2 linked regions of the Zea mays genome follow. Each later gene encodes a partner of the first gene's protein in a complex. Links are inferred from orthologs where the notes say so. Each region holds a gene or a part of one and is shown on either strand. Other genes may lie near its edges.

The links. The genes of interacting proteins can lie anywhere in the genome.
Region 2: probable cleavage and polyadenylation specificity factor subunit 1 (region 1) and cleavage and polyadenylation specificity factor subunit 3-II share a complex: the UniProt entries of both Arabidopsis thaliana proteins name them as parts of the CPSF complex. The link is inferred for Zea mays from reciprocal best matches to the Arabidopsis thaliana genes CPSF160 and CPSF73-II.

What each region holds. Positions count from the first base shown.
Region 1 is NC_050097.1:87,302,302-87,308,059, reverse strand, and holds the start of probable cleavage and polyadenylation specificity factor subunit 1, read left to right. Parts: upstream 1-2,306; 5' UTR 2,307-2,471; coding exon 2,472-2,818; intron 2,819-2,924; coding exon 2,925-3,062; intron 3,063-3,576; coding exon 3,577-3,730; intron 3,731-3,908; coding exon 3,909-4,044; intron 4,045-5,587; coding exon 5,588-5,733; intron 5,734-5,758. UniProt on the Arabidopsis thaliana protein: CPSF plays a key role in pre-mRNA 3'-end formation, recognizing the AAUAAA signal sequence and interacting with poly(A)polymerase and other factors to bring about cleavage and poly(A) addition.
Region 2 is NC_050098.1:223,882,193-223,886,460, reverse strand, and holds the end of cleavage and polyadenylation specificity factor subunit 3-II, read left to right. Parts: coding exon 1-12; intron 13-291; coding exon 292-357; intron 358-521; coding exon 522-591; intron 592-669; coding exon 670-774; intron 775-1,102; coding exon 1,103-1,244; intron 1,245-1,370; coding exon 1,371-1,464; intron 1,465-2,285; coding exon of another isoform or gene 2,286-2,297; exon of another isoform or gene 2,298-2,571; coding exon 2,572-3,093; 3' UTR 3,094-3,241; downstream 3,242-4,268. UniProt on the Arabidopsis thaliana protein: Component of the cleavage and polyadenylation specificity factor (CPSF) complex that play a key role in pre-mRNA 3'-end formation, recognizing the AAUAAA signal sequence and interacting with poly(A) polymerase and other factors to bring about cleavage and poly(A) addition.

The sequences.
Region 1 (5,758 bases):
ACAAAATAAGCAATAGAGTTTCCTGGGTTGATCCCCATATCTTCCTCCGAAGCCCTGCCGCCTCTGCCCCTTGGAGCTGGTGGCCTGAAAGAACTTTGTTGTTGCCCTGAAGATTGTAAGTTATGTTGTGGCCTCTGAAACTGGCTTCCTCTGTCATCACTCTGAGTGTAATTGTGGATTGATCTGACATGCCTAGGGTAGAGTCTTCCTCCGAAGCCCCTAGTCATCTCAGAAAACCTATAAGCTTCTTCCCTTCTCTGGCGGAAATCATTATCGGCCTGGATGTACTCATCCATCTTCTGAAGCAGCTTCTCAATGACGATTTCATTGGGCACTGTGGGTGCTTGTGCTCTCAAACGCAAGAACCTTCGGACATACGCCTGGAGGTATTCTTCGTGATCTTGCGTGCACTGGAACAAAGCTTGAGCATTAACTGGCTTCGTCTGGAACCCTTGAAAACTGGTGATCAGCATGTCCTTCAGCTTCTGCCATGATGTGATTGTTCCTGACCGAAGAGAGTAGTACCAGGTTTGTGCAACATTCTTGAATGCCATGACGAAGTATTTCGCCATGATTGCAGTATTGCCCCCATATGAAGATATGGTTGCTTCGTAGCTCATCAGAAACTGCTTTAGATCTGAGTGCCCATCATACATGAGGAGATGGGGTGGATTGTATGATGGCGGCCATGGGGTAGCCTGCAGTTCTGCTGATAGAGGAGAAGCATCATCAAAAGCAAAATTTCCATGATGCAAATCATCATACCATTCGTCATCATCGTAGGAATTGTCCTGACGAAGCTCTCTGCGTTGAGATCTTCGGTCCTGGTCATCTTGAGTGAGATGACACATTTCCTCAGCAGCCTCATCGATCTTCTTCTGTAAATCGGAGAGACGAAGCATCTTCTCCTTCTTCCTCTGGACCTGTTGATGGATGGCTTCGAGGTTTGGTCCAACTCCTCCTCCTGAGGCGTTGGACTTGTAGCCTTCCTTTTTTGGCTTCTGGCTTCGCGTAGTGTTTCTTGGTTGACGTCCAGCGACTGTAATGCAGCCCCTAGCCCGGAAGACTTCTTCGGCGGCATGACGAAAAGATCATAGCTTTGCCGAAGGTGGTCGAATGAGTTCACCGGAGGTGGATACCAATGTTGGGGACTTGTTCTCAAATACTATGAATTAAGAACAAGGCAACACAAATGTTAATGGTTAAAGGTCTTCATCCTCCGAAGCATTATCTCCTTTAAGATATAATGATCTTCAAACGAAGGTCGTGAAGGTCATACCTTCATCATTTCAATATATAATGGAAAGCAGAAGCATGAGTTACGTATAAAGAATACAAATAATCATTATATTACTTATATTCTTATTGAATAACCATGAATAAACATTAACAATATTGAATTATATTGATACCTTCGGCTTGATAGAAGGTAAGAATCCAAGTGTGACGTGAAAATGAATACAAGTCAGCGTGAACAGTACAGTGCTACTGTTCATCTATTTATAGGCACATGACGCAGCCTGTGTAAAATTACATCCATACCCTTGACATTTACTATTGACTTAGCGATAATCTATCGAGGACTAGACAACCTTTTCCCCTTTAAGTCGGTTTCATTTTCCACCGCTAAGCCGAAGCTTCTACACGGGTATCTTCGGAACTGGTTCATCCTTCTCCCAAACTGCACTTTTCATATCGTGTACAACTTTATCCCAAGGCTGAAGGTCCCTGTATATATATTATACTTGGAGAACATGTTAGTCGTGTTTTTGAAGACCTTCGAAAGATAAAGGCCCCAACACCTAAATCCTTGCAACTAAATACGTGGATTATATTTGTGTGAGCTGATTGCCTGAATTTTGTGTACCTGACATGTAAATGTGTTGATTATATTTGTGTGAGCTGTTGGCATGCTTTTATTTATTTGGCATGAGAGACACCCTGTAAGCTCAGGTTTTTTAATTCGGGTTTTATCGATAAACCAAAGTAAAAAACCAATACCGAACTTGTCACCTTTTCTTTTTATGTAAACCCATCGGTTTTTTATATGAAAAACCAAAAAACCAACCGAATTTTTAAAAAACCGAATGCCCAGCCCAGCCTAAGAGGGTGTTTGAATGCACTAGGGCTAATAGTTAGTGACTAAAATTAGTTGAAACATCCAAACATCCTAGCTAATAGTTTAACTATTAACTATTTTTGTAAATTAGTTAATAGTTAGGTAGTTATTTATTAGCTAGCTAATTCCACTAACAAATTTTAGCCAACTAACTATTAGTTGTAGTGCATTCAAACACCCCTAAGTATGAATAAGCTAGTCCCAAAATTGCAAAAAATGTCTTCGCTGAGCGAAGGGTTTTCTAGGGTTTTGGTACGAAACCCCCCTTCGTCCCGTCGCATTTCGTTCAAAATCGCGCGGTCAAATCCGAGCTCGGGGCCATCGCCGTCGCCGCGCCTCCCATCCCGCGAAGATGAGCTACGCGGCGTACAAGATGATGCATTTGCCCACCGGAATCGACCATTGCGCTGCCGGCTTCATCACCCACTCCCCCGCCGACGCTGCCGCCTTCTCCACGCCCGCGCCCGCGCCCACCGCCGCCGCTGGACCCGACGGCGATATTGACTCCACTGCGGCTAGGGCACCCCGGCGAGTGGGTCCTACCCCCAACCTGGTTGTGTCGGCGGCTAACGTGCTCGAGGTGTATGCCGTGAGGGCCGAGGTCGCGACTGGGGCCGAGGATGCGGGTAATTCTTCGTCTACCGGCACCATCCTGGATGGTATCTCCGGGGCTCGACTGGAACTTGTGTGCCATTACAGGTGCAAACAAATGGCTCTTGCCTCTTTGCATTCACTTTTAGCTGTAAATTTCAGGTATTGATTTTGTGCATCTTGGAGGACTAATCATTCTCTGAACGACATTTAGGCTTCACGGTAACATTGAATCGATGGCTGTGTTGTCCGATGGCACAGAGAATAGGCGAGACTCCATTGCAGTTACGTTTAACGATGCAAAAATAACATGTCTGGAGTTTGATGACAGCATCAATGGCCTGCGGACAAGGTAGCACATAATCCACTCGTTTCTCATTTTGGACAACTTAGGAATAAAAAAAGTTCAATTGCTGTATGTCGGCACAATGATGTAAATTTAAAAGTAATAACAGCATTGGATATTAGAGTTTTTCTTATGGCGTGACAAGGGATAAATGAAACAATATCAACTTACAAAGAAAGACCCCATGTTTTTTTTCTGTTTGAGGTGTCGAAGGATTCTACTTTTTGTCATTTTTAGATTCACTTTATTGATTGCTTTGTTGGGTACTTGGGTATCATCTACGGATCGGTGTACCCCAACTTGCTTGGGATTAAAAGGATTTGTTTTTGCTGTGTAGTCATTTTAGAACCAAGCTGCTGATGATTGAGCTAGTTTGCTCACAAATAGATAAAGTTACATGTAGCACTGTTTTTCTTCTCTGACTTTCTTTCTAATGTACACTAACCTAAACTAATTGCTCTTCTTGATTGAGCTCGTTTGTTGTCCCTTGCCTAACAGATTATGATTCGTGATGTTGCAGCTCAATGCATTGTTTTGAAGGCCCTGAATGGTTCCATCTGAAAAGGGGCAGGGAATCATTTGCCTGGGGTCCTATCATAAAAGGGGATCCTCAAGGCAGATGTGGTGCTGTACTTGTTTATGGATTACAGATAATAATTTTGAAAGCAGCTCAGGTGGAGTTCGCTTGATGGTCTCCTTTTTCATCATGAAATTCAACTATCTGTGGTTTATTCTTAGCTCTTATAATTTTGATTCATTTAACCTCAACTTTTAGTCTGGTTTTCTAACATTCTGAGAACTAAGCTGGGCTCTTTCGAACCAGTTACAAGGGTTTTACTTATGCATTATTAGGTTGGGCAGAGCTTAGTAGGAGAGGATGAACCTACACGCGTGTTGAGTTCCACTGCTGTTCGGATTGAATCTTCGTATGTGATTGATTTACGTGATCTAGAAATGAATCACATCAAAGACTTTACATTTGTGCATGGTGAGATAGGATCTATTTTTACTTTATTTTCACTTTGGATTGTTTTCTATATCAAAGCCCGCATTTTAATATTTGTTTTATCATGGTTACTAAAGCGGTAAATCGATAAAATGTTAGGAGCCACTTTTTCAACATTTAAATGTTGAGACGAACGTTGAAACATCTTTTCAGACTTGACATAAAACGACATGATAGGATATGTTCATACTCATAAGTTGAGTACTTGAGTTCACAAAACAAATAGTATAAAAGGAAATGGATTAAGTTCAACCACACCAGTCTATGCAACATGCAATTTAGAACTTGCATTTAGGATTAGTAACAATCATCCAACTCATCAATATCAAGAGCGTGTGCATCCATTTCTTGATCATCACCATCCGTCTTCATCTTCACTTGCTGAATTAGCCTCCTCTTCCTCAATGGCATGATAGAGGAGCAGGGCGACGATGAAATGGCGATGAAATGGTGGATTTACTGGATGCTGGTGCATGGCGTCTTGACCTAGGACCTGATAGCTGCTGGCAACACTGGCTACTAGAGGAGCTAGAGGGCGGCGTTGGCTAGTGGCGGCGTTGGCTAGTGGCAGCGTTGGAGGTGGCGGGTGTTGGTTGCTGGCGACGATGATGGGTGGCGTTGTTGGAGGAGGCATGCGATGTTGGATCAAGCGGCGCTGTAGCGGGTGGCAAGGTTATTAAAACGATAAAACACTCATGGGTGAAGTTTTGTCTTTAAACGTTTAAACTTTGTAAACTTTGTTTAAACGTAGTTTTAAACAACATATGAAAAATAACAATATATCATAATTTCAGACAATAACATGAAGTTAAATACCAAAACAGAGAGGTTAGTGGCTTACCAAAACTTCACCCATGAGCCGGATTGGACCCAAAAGTAACTAACAGACTGGGTCCAAAAGTAGCTAATGGTATAAAACGCATGAAACACTGCGTTTTACAGTTTAGAACGCCAAAACGCTTAAACACGGTTTCAACCTCTAATTAGAGTTTTGACGTTTAAACGTAGTTTTGATAACAGTGGCGGAGCTTCACCATAGGATTTGGTGTGTGTGTGTGGGAGTCTATATAATTGAGGACTAAACAATGATGAATAGCACAAAGATCACTATTTAGACAATGAAGATCACATTAGGCAGGGTTGGCCATGGCCTGGCTTGGTCTTAACCAAGCTCCGACCTTGGATTCAGATATGGTCGGTGGCTGCAGAGATGGACAGCATGGCCATGCAGAGGGGCAGCATGAGCCGCAAAGAGGAGTCAACCGGGGGGGGGGGGGGGGTGTGCGTGGGTCGGAGATTCACCCAAGGGATCAGCTACAGGCTAGACCTCCTCTCCTACACTATAACTTGGTGATGATTTATGGGACACAGTTGTTTAATTTTGTTCTTTTGCTTTGGCCACTGCTTCTAGTTCTGTGTATCACAAGTTCCTTTGTTTCCACACATTTTGCATACATATTTGTTAATATTGGTACAAACTTACCATATTCAGAACTCAGCCATTTCCATTTTATGATGCCTTCAGGTTATATTGAGCCTGTGTTGGTCATACTTCATGAGCGAGAGCCTACATGGGCTGGGCGTATCTCATCGAAGAGCCAAACATGCATGCTATCTGCGTTTAGTATAAGCATGGGTTTAAAGCAACATCCGATGATATGGTCTGCTGCTGTAAGTGTTCAAGATCAGTCATAAG
Region 2 (4,268 bases), on another chromosome or scaffold:
TTTTTAAAAGCGGTATGAAAATCTGAACTTTGCTGCAGCCTGCAGTGTATATATTTGTAGATTTTCGTAATCAATGCTTTTCCGATGGTGTACTACTCTATTTTCTAGGTTTTGGATCCTATGTGCTCAATATTATTTGGGCACACAACACAGTTCACTAAGTGTATCTATATTTTTTATTCCTGATGTTTTCGTCCAAGAAGATGCACTCTGACTGTATTAAACCAATCTTCTGAAGTGTACACAGTTGATTTTACTTCCAAAGCATAACTGAGTATATGTTTCCTCTAGGTACATAAATGTGTTTCTGGTGGAGGTAAAGTTCTAATTCCAACGTTTGCTCTGGGAAGAGCTCAGGTATTGTAGTTCTCTTAATTCTACTTTATGAGACAAAGTGATGGTTAAGTGTGATAACTATATATGACTTAAATGAGCAAGTTTCCCTGAGAAGTACCATTCCGAGGGCACACTGTTCAAAGGTTTCATAATTTGAGTATCTATTTGTGACGCTTGTATTTCAGGAACTATGTATGTTACTGGATGACTATTGGGAGAGGATGGGCTTGAAAGTTCCTATTTATTTTTCAGCTGGTATGCGTGGTCTCTTGAAAGTTGAAACCTTGTACTTTCTGCTGCATGTGAAGTTATCTTTGATTATTTGTGCTATAGGTTTAACCATTCAAGCTAATGTGTACTACAAAATGTTGATTGGGTGGACTAGTCAAAAGATCAAGGACAGCCATACAGTGCATAATCCATTTGACTTCAAGCATGGTATGGTTCAGTTCTTTAAAAGCTAATTGTCCAATCCTACTTTGAATGAAGATAAATTTCATATGATTGAGTTGAAAATCTAAATATTCTGTAGATTTTTAACTAACCAACCCTCCAAGTTATCCCTTTTTTCCCTATTATTTGTAACTGTATGTCACCAATTGATTTTTTGTTTCTTTATTATTGAAATATTTGTTTATTTAATCATATTTTTGATAATAATTGTTGCTATTTCACTTTTTATGGGTAACCACAGTTGAGGTATGAGGTGTTCTGTCTTTTATTTGCAAATATTGGAATAACAGAGACAACATTTTTCACATTTCAGTTTGCCACTTTGAACGTTCCTTCATTAACAACCCTGGTCCCTGTGTACTTTTTGCAACACCTGGTATGATTACTGGGGGATTTTCCCTTGAGGCGTTTAAAAAATGGGCACCATCAGAGAAGAATCTGGTTACACTTCCAGGGTATATTCTTTATCTTTCTTGTTTTTCCATTTTTCAATCTTTTAAATTACTTGCATGTAGACAAGCTTTACCAAACCCTTTACTCTACAATTATTCTGATGCCACCTTTCTATTTTTCCCGCACAGATATTGTGTTTCTGGAACCATTGGTCATAAGTTGATGTGTGGGAAACCTACAAGGGTTGATTACGAGGACACTCATATTGATGTCAGATGTCAGGTCGATTTTCACGTCATTTCATATCTTGCAAAAAATGTACAACTTTAAATAATAATGACAAGAACATGGTCAACCAGGGGGAAGCCATGTAAATCACTAGTGTTTTAAACACTGTTGAAGTCTGGCTTTTAAATTCGATCCATATCAATCCCCACTTATCGTTCTGCATGGGTGCTTACTCGAGGCCCTTAGTTGTCTATTGCAGTTGGCTGGCTGTGGTCGTTTTTGTTTCTGTCTCTCAGTTTTTTGTGAGTAGTATGTCTGTATGTATTGAGGAGCTTTCCTAGTCCCCTCCCTGTTTTGCACATTTTATACTTTATCTTAATCTACTCATTACCATTCATGATGCATATATGAATGTTTGCGCGAAAGGGCCTCTAGCTGAGTTGGTTAGGTGGTCTGAGTAGCACTCCTCAGGTCCTGGGTTCGACTCCCCGTGGGAGCGAATTTCAGGCTGTGGTTAAAAAAATCCCCTCGTTTGTCCCATGCCAAAGCACAGGTCTAAGGCTCAGCCCCGGTCGTGGTCGTTCTCACATGGGCTTCGATGCCGCTGTGTATGGGTGGGGCAGGGGTTCGGGGGTTTTCTCGACCTGTGTGAGAAGGTCTTCTTCTTAATTCTATGCCCGGGGGCTGTCTTACCCCTCGCAGGTCGAGTTTTATATATGAATGTTTGCACTCAACATAATAGCGCTCCATATGAAACGTGTAGTCTAGGAATTGGAGCTTTCTGTGAGGTTAATCATGATGTTTGAAGTTCCTGACAGAATGCTGCTGTCAGTGTCTAACATATTACACTTCGGTTGTCCCTTTTGGCACTCTAGGGGTGTGTTTGATTGCGGGACAACTTGGACAGCCATGTCTCCCGGCATCCCCTCTCTCTGTCTAGTTCTGACAGGCAGCTGAGGACGACGGCATTGGGATGGTTCTATTTCAACCCTGACCTTGAATCAAACAACCTTATATAAGGGATCGTCCTATCCCATCATTGCAACAAAACACACCCTAGATTTACTCCAACCATTGCACTTTTCATTTTTGATATTTTTTGCCCCCTCATACTGAGTTTTTTTGCCCCCCCCCCCCCCCCCCCCCCCCTTATTTTACCAGATCCATCAGCTAGCATTCAGTCCTCATACAGACTCCAAAGGGATTATGGATCTGACAGAATTCCTGTCACCCAAAAATGTAATTCTCGTTCATGGTGAAAAGCCTCAGATGGCTTTTCTTAAGGAGAGGATCGAATCTGAATTGGGGATGCCTTGCTACTACCCAGGGAATAATGAATCCGTCTCCATTCCGACAACCCAGAACCTTAAAATGAGTGCTACAGAAAGGTTCATTACAGGCTGTGCTGTGGAGCAAGGTAAACGTAGCCTGCACAAGCGGAACCTGATTTATGGTACAGGTTTGTCAGAAGAGATTGGCAGTGATGAGGCGGCGGGGGAGGGCGTTCTTCTGATGCAGAAACACAAGTCTCCGAAAATTCTTTGTGAGGATGAGCTCCTTGAGGTGCTGGGCATGGGTCGGCATCTTGTCCAGTTTGAACCAATGGTCTCCAGAATTGTAGCTGCTGTTGAATCCGAGTTGCAGCGGGCTAAGGCAGCGGATTTAGATAACGATGGGAAATGAATGGAACAATATAAATGTACATTGCCATAATTTTGGCTGATTACTGTTTCACCTTTCTTTCCCAAAAATGCGAGTAATGTCCTACACCACTTCAGCACTATTACTGACAAGTCTCTTTAAGGTCCTTGGGAGTTACCAAGTTATACAATATCTAGAGAGCTACTATCGCATAAAATAGGGATTTGTTATTCTGTTTGTATAGTGAAATTTGAAATAAAAGAAGAGATAGGCCAGCTGTCAGAGACAGCCTCAACTCGGTGTCGTTCTATCGCCCAGGGTGGCATTCTATCGCTTCATAAGTCAATATTTCTAAGTATAATAAGATATGTATAAAAATATTAAACTTATGGCGTATAATTAATAATATTAGATGAGTTACTGAATATATTTTTATAATAAACTTGTTGAAAGATATAAATGTTGCTAATATTTTATATAAATTTATTTATTTTTTAAAAAATTGACTATCACGATTCACGAATCCTATAATATCACTTTTTTGAGACGGAGATAGCGTTACTCCTTTTGAGGTGGAGTGTTACCAAATTTGGTACCTCCGTAGGCTCGATTTCTTTGTGCCTTTGAAGATAAGAGTAAATTTTACTAGAAAACTATTTAGTGCAAATTATCTACTCACTGGAATGGTGAAAACCGTATACAAATATACTTATAAGTTTCTAAAAAATTAAAATCGTGCACATTTATAATGTACCTATGGATGTATATAATCTTAAATTTTAAGATTGAAATCCAATCTAAAATATTATATATAAAATGGCAAATTTGTAGTGCATATGCACTAGAGGACAAAATCCTAGGAATTTTGTTGTCCCCTCAATAAATAAAGGCTTGGGCTAAAAAAGTCATGCATGGGGAAGTCGTGTTTCTATATGAAATTTTATAAAAACATGTTTGAACCAAGTGTACATCTTTATATATGACTATGTACTATGGATATGTAAAGTTTCATTTTTTGAAAATCTTTAAATATATATTTTAAAGGATTTGCACTGAATAATTTGTCAATTGTACTTGGTGGTATTGAACTTGTTCTATAAGTTGTAAACACAACTTTCTAAACTTACTATGAGTTTTGTAGTCACCTAAATTGCACACTTGGTTCTCTCAACCTACACACTTAGTTCTCTAAAATTGTTTCAAATTCTTCTCTCTTA